Kluyveromyces lactis: one gene and its partner. The protein of the gene in region 2 binds, or shares a complex with, the protein of the main gene of each other region. Links are inferred from orthologs where the notes say so. Each region holds a gene or a part of one and is shown on either strand. Other genes may lie near its edges.

Region 1 (2,769 bases), on a different chromosome or scaffold from region 2:
TAGTTTATTATACACGTTTAAATGAAATACCCGATGTGCTAATGTTACTACATAGAAGTTTCGTTTCGTTGTACTTTAAAGACTTTTCACTCTTTTTTCAAAATAAGGATTTATGGAGCTTCCCTTTATTATTATAAGAAGAAACTAGAAAAAAGGAAAATGGGAGTTTCCTAATGTAAAAATCCTTTAAAACGTCCAGTCGTAATCGAATGGAAAGGCTGACAGTAATTGGCAGATACCACCTGTTCAAATGCTAGAGTAGTTCTCTGCACAGTCAAGTGGAAACATAGGTTTATTACCTGAACATCTGTTAGAAAATGGCCTTTTGTTTTTGTTTCATCTTCATCAGTAAATATAATGCAATGTTAAGTGAAGTAAGAAATGGAGAGAGGACATGCAAAGACTTATAGGTATCGAAACGCTGTATACACGTATAACAACAGGAAGCAGTAGAAGTATATCTTTTTAATTCCTTTTTTTTTGGTTTCACTTTAAACCATCTATTCGTAATCGGAGTCTTCATCTTCGGAATCTGATCTACCTTCTAATTCCTTGGATTCTAATAGTGCTTGTAATTCAGCATCTTCAGTGGCGGTGACAGCCTTTGGAGCCATTGTGACATTACAGACACCATTGTACTTTAGAATGACTTCTTCGATCTTTGCGATAGCAGTTTCCAATAGTTGAACACCTTGATCTTTGTCCAAAGATTGGGTGGTGATGACGTACAATGGGGCAGCCACCAATTTGACTTTGATTTGCATTTGTTCAGTGGACAACTCTTCAGCAGATTTTAGGGCTTCTTTGATAGCATCAATACCCTCGTAACTGAAACATGAAACCTCGACATCTGCTCTGATCTTGACCGCTTGTGGGGTCAATCTTCTGGTGATTTGGCCCTTCAATTCTTGGAAAATTTCGTCGCTGATAGATTCAATACCATCCCAAACGTTAGGGTCCACAATGGACATCTTGTAGGCATCGTAAGCATGACCGTACTTTCGACTTAAAGGCCATGCATAAGCTTTGTACAAATCTTCCAATGATACTTGGTATTTCTCAGCACATTGTCTCAAGATGGAATGTACGGCCTTGGACTTTTGGTATCTTTCTTCACATTTGATGACATCTTCTGCAGAAACACGACGCTTAGACAAATCAATATAACCCTTCTCCTTATCCACTCTTAATACAACGACAACTTCATTCTTACCAACACGAATCAACTTTTGGATAGATCTAATACGTCTTCTTGACAATTCAGATAACAAAACCATACCTTCAATGTTGTCATATTCCAATAATCTAACGTAAGCACCCATTTCAGCGATTTGTTGGACGTTTACCATCACAACATCATCAACTTCAGGGAACTTGTTCTCGTAAAACCTACAATTGGAAGTGGACATCCTGCTCTGTATATCTAATGGCTCTGATGATAAATTCTTGTGTAATTTTTCAATTGGAAGATATACCACAAACTCAAAGAAAGTATACTCTGTTTGTAATCGTTATCTATCGCAAGATACAGATAAATTAAATTCCTCGGTATCAGAGACTGCTCGCGTAAGTTCGAAGCTTAATTGGAAACCTTTGTATACCGATATTGAAATTGCTTTGTTGCTTCAATATTGTATATGCTTTCCAATGATCAATCTTTTCAATTTTTTGATACTTCGCATCACAGTTTCGAAAAATTTTTAGATCTGCTCGTTAAGAGTGATGTACTACACGTGACCTAACTATTATAATTAAGTTTCATTACTTACTACTAATGGCCCTCAGGTATTAAGCTGCAGAGATACTAACTACCAGTAACCCATACTAGATGCGATCGTGCTAAGAAGCGCCAGAAGATTGATTTTTTAGCCTCGTTTTGATTGTTTTGATGTGTGCGAATCTGCGAGACCATGTAGAACAGTGTTCTGACGATACGGACTCGTGCCAAATTTGTGCGAATGTGTTTGCGACAGTACATAAATGCCTGACATACGCTGCGAGGCGCTGCCTATGCATGATTTTGAAGTGGGATGTAGAGAATATACCAGGAACTTCTTTTGCTCTGTAAATCTTCACCTTATAGAATTCACTCACAGAGTCTTTTTCATCTTTGCCGTTCCACATTGGTTTGATGACAAGGTTTATGAAATTGAATTGACTTTTGATTATGTCAAACGGGAACGAGTCCTGTTTTCGTTCATCGTAATATATGTTGATAAAGTTATTACCAACGTGTCTTTTTTTCATTGTTCGATCTGGATCTGCTTTGTCGTCGTTAGGCATTAGGGATACAGTATGGAACACGATTTGACATTTTTGATCATGCCAGATCAACGCGTACTCTCCATCTGTACCAGGATTCAAACCGCCGATGTAAAAAGTTTCATTTTGATCAAGTTTTATTATTGATCCGAGTTCGTTAACAAACCATTTGTATTGATGGGATCCATCCTCCATAGAGTGTGACAATATATCCTTTTCAGTTGTGTCATTGGGTCCCATGTATAGCAATCCAATCTTGTGAAATTCGACCACTGGGATAGTATCAACAAGCTGAATAGACTTTATCAAGTGGGGTTCTTCGATCCGAACCATGTCTTCGTACGTATCTTCTGCACTAAATTGTGCAAGAACATACCCTGGCGTGAACATATTTGCAGAGGCGGGTTTGGTGTTTTTACCAAATTGGAATAAATCAAAACTGTCAGGTTCCTTCTTTACTATGGGATCCACATTGAAGATGGAATTTCCGGATGCACCTCTAGTGAC
Region 2 (3,734 bases):
ACAGAATGATTCAATGGGCTGAAAAATATCCAACAATACAGTTCGAAATAGTAAGAAAGTCTGGCCATCCAGTTATAAAAGGTGACTATGTTAATGGCCGTAATAAAGCCATCTGCGTAAAAAATCTGAACATTGATAATGTAGAGAATAAGTTAAAACTAATCAGAGACGCATCTGGTGAGCAACTCCGTCACAGAACTAAGAACGACAATGTGGATACTTTGAACGATAGTGTGAGAGGTATCTGGTCTCCACTACATTTAAGCCCAGCCATCAGACACAAGGTTTGAATCGAAAAAATGACTTGTGAATGGTAATATCGAGATCATAGCTTAACTTGTACATATATATAGCAATATCCTCGATGAAGCCGATACCTAAGTAAACAACCTACGATGTTGAATATTACTACGCAATTAATAAAAAAGAAGATCTATACTAATTTTTCATTTACTATATTATATGATATTATCGTATATTATATATGCAAAGGGCTCCATTCAAGCTGATGCTTTGTATTCTCTAAGAACCACGGGAACAGAAGATGGTGGCAACGAACCAAATTCTGTAATGATCTTCTTGATGTAGTCAGGGGGTGTTAAATCGTACATTATATTGAAGATGTGCAAATTAGGTGATTTCTCCCACTCTGCTAGTATTGGTTTATCCTTGACATTCTTACCTTCGTCGGCAGTAGCATTATTGGTATTAGCACTGCCAGATTTATTATTTTGCTTAGAGCTATTCTCGACTTCCTTCTGCTGCGCTTCACGCTCTTTGATAAATTGCTGTAATAAGAACCCATTGTTGTTACGTCTCTGTACAGGATTAGCAGAGTCAATGGTTACCAAATCGTTTGGATCAGCAAGTTCATTAGATGTGACACTATCAAGCTGTACCCTTTGAGAGAACTTTAAAGACTCACAGCATACAAGTACAGGAATATTTCTTCTGCTTGCCAACATAGCGATCTGAGCAGTACCGACTCTTGAATATAGGAAACCATTTGAAAGAATCGAATGCGCTCCCAAAAACACATATTTGATATCCATATTGAATACGGTACCCAATGCTGTAATGGGAACATACAAAACATTAAGACCTTGATTTCTCAAAGATTCTGCCATTTTACGACCCTCAAACAAAGGTCTACTGTCCACTATAACAATTTGGAAGTTCTTACCGAAATTTATGGCGTTGTGTAGGAATAAATCAGTTAAAACCTTGGAACAGCCATAGGTCAATATAGTGCTGCCTTCTTCAATATGTTGTGAAGCTGTTTCAATGATAAGTTGATCAGCCAACTGCACTCTTTCTCTAGCGAACTGTGCAATCTTATCACAAAGTTCTTTTTTGGCCTTTGAATCCGGTGTTGAAGGATCGATTAGAGAGATTTCTTGCTTCAACCATCTAATGGCATTACCCATGGTTACACTCAATGGTCTTGACTTCTTCAAGAAATCAATTTGATGGGACAGGTAACTTGTCAAATTACGTGAAAGAGTAGTACCTTCTGGAGTCTTGTAGTCTCTGACAACCAGTTGGAATGCCTCTAACATGGCAATACAACGAGGAATGGAACCTATAATTTTATAGAATGCATAATCCAAAGTCAGAGAGGTGATAGCGGGATGTAACATTTCGCGATTGGCAATCAATTCTTTTACAGAGGCAATCGATTGTTGATTTGTAAATTGTGAAGTCATGGTATTTGGAATGACGGATGATATTCCTGGGACAAATGAAGACGATTCATCAAGGGACAAGGAATTTAGCATTTGATGGGCTTCAAAATCTTCTGAATGAGCCAAACCTGCCAAATTAGTATTGCTTCCAGAAAGGTTTGAACTCAAAGGAGATGCAGACATTGGTTGGGAAACCGCAACCGCGGGTGTAGTAGCAAGTAAAGGCAATACTAACCCATTAGCAGTAATCCTTGAGGTACCTGTAGAAGTGATAGCACTCGAAACTGCAAGTAAAGAAGCTCTTCTTTCTTCAGCAGTCTCTAGATGACCAAATAGAGTCGACTTCTTGGTATCATGTTTGACCGGGTCGGCTGCTTTATTCTTTTTTGCAGCTAAGAGATCTCTTTGTTGCTGCTTCTTTTCACGCTTAGCAGCAGCTTGCTGCTGCTGTTTTTCAATAGAGATACCACTAGCTTGCTTACTGGCTGCTCTCTTTGCAGCCTTCTCCTTCTTTTTCAGTTCCTTCAACTCTTTATTAGATAAAGGTTTTTCTCCTTCTTGTGCATTTGCCGTCTTTTCAGTATTAGTTTCTTTCCCTGAAGCCTCCTTAGCTCCTCCTGTCATTATTGGTGATTTGATACCTCAAAGTATACCGTTATTTGCCAATAGATTTCCGTTGGATCACAGGAACTGCGAGATCATCGATTGGTATTTATGTCAGCTTTTGAATAATTTCACCAAAATTGAAATTCTTAAAAAGAATGATGGAAAACTCGTTGACGGTGATTTCCTTGCAGATCGAACAAACTCAGTGCCCGAGTTGGCTAGCGGGAGTGACATGGTACCAGGCGCTAATTGACGAACATTTACTCAATTTGCGATGAATCCGTGACGGCACATCAATAATTATATAATAGAAGTATATTGTGTGAGTTTCTTTATGAATTATGGTCATTTTGTTAATGTTTTTTGAATTTCTAGTAATATTCTTAACTGACGTTGATTCTTATATATATATACATGAACGGTTCTGGGAAATATTGGTTACGGATAAGTCTATCCTTTATTTCGTTTCTTCTGCTTGTGCATCTGCATGAGCTTCTTCTGTCGTTTCAGATTCAGTAGCCTTTTGAGTTAACAGCTGTTTGTATTGGGATACGTATTTGTCGTAAATGTCAGCAACCGAGTTTTGCGCTAAAACGGCTTGATAGTTTTCAACAAACTGTTGCAGCTTAGCTTCAGTTGAGCCGAAGTCTAATGCTGTTCTGCTCAACAAATACTGGGTGGTGTTCTTTGTCAAGAAAGTCCTTAATTGATTTTGGCTTGCAGTGCTAACATCGATCGATGGCAAGTTAATTTCAATATTTCTAGCGAAATTAGGTAATTTCACCTCAACGTTCTGTTGTCTACCCAAAGCTTGAACAATTTCCTTTGTTAAACCAGTTGTATCTTCTCTTTTGGTAACAGTCGATGATAACTTCCTTAGGCCTCTCTCTACCATGCCGGAATCTTGAACGTTTTGGAACGCATTTCTATGCAATTGACACATCAATACAGTATTATACCATACATCTACGTTATAGGCTTCTAATTGCTTTGCTTTCACCAATAATGGCTGTATTTGGTACAGAACATTCAAAACTGCTCCTAAAGCACCAAACTTGAAAGTGGAAGTTAACAACATGTTTTGTAGATGCTGGGGAATCAAATAACTCCAGAACTCTTTCCTTCTAGGTGTGATATTCTTCCAATCTCTAACCATGTTTTCCAACTCTTCAGCTGACGATGCGTTCAATATGACGCTATTGAGAACTGATGCACTTGGTCTTAACACTGATGGTCTAGGTTGAATAGGAAGTTTAGTTTCTGGATCTTTCAAATCCATGGCCAACAAACGGTTAGCATTCTTTTTGCGGTAGATGTATGGTCTTAGAGTCTGTGGTGTCTTGACAAATTGTAAGAAGTTGTCAAAGACCGCACGAGACTCTACACCAGTTGAAACCGATCTTGTGAAAAACCGAGAGAACATTCGCTGCTTTGACTGTTATA

The links.
Region 1: the proteins of GCD2 (region 2) and SUI2 are in contact, whole or in part, in a cryo-EM structure (PDB 6I7T), measured with the Saccharomyces cerevisiae proteins. The link is inferred for Kluyveromyces lactis from reciprocal best matches to the Saccharomyces cerevisiae genes GCD2 and SUI2. Residues at the interface, in NP_011597.1 of Saccharomyces cerevisiae: Lys376, Glu377, Lys378, Leu381, Ala382, Gln384, Leu385, Glu631, Phe632, Glu646, Tyr647, Ala651; in NP_012540.3 of Saccharomyces cerevisiae: Arg57, Ser58, Ile59, Gln60, Leu62, Ile63, Lys67.

The regions. Positions count from the first base shown.
Region 1 is NC_006037.1:1,020,166-1,022,934, reverse strand, and holds SUI2 (translation initiation factor eIF2 subunit alpha), read right to left. Parts: upstream 1,410-2,769; coding exon 501-1,409; downstream 1-500. Other genes in the region: KLLA0_A11792g (uncharacterized protein), read right to left, coding at 1,840-2,769. UniProt on the Saccharomyces cerevisiae protein: eIF-2 functions in the early steps of protein synthesis by forming a ternary complex with GTP and initiator tRNA. This complex binds to a 40S ribosomal subunit, followed by mRNA binding to form a 43S pre-initiation complex.
Region 2 is NC_006042.1:773,700-777,433, reverse strand, and holds GCD2 (translation initiation factor eIF2B subunit delta), read right to left. Parts: upstream 2,310-3,734; coding exon 501-2,309; downstream 1-500. Other genes in the region: MRPL51 (mitochondrial 54S ribosomal protein mL43), read left to right, coding at 1-290; mitochondrial 37S ribosomal protein mS44 MRP13, read right to left, coding at 2,749-3,714. UniProt on the Saccharomyces cerevisiae protein: Acts as a component of the translation initiation factor 2B (eIF2B) complex, which catalyzes the exchange of GDP for GTP on the eukaryotic initiation factor 2 (eIF2) complex gamma subunit.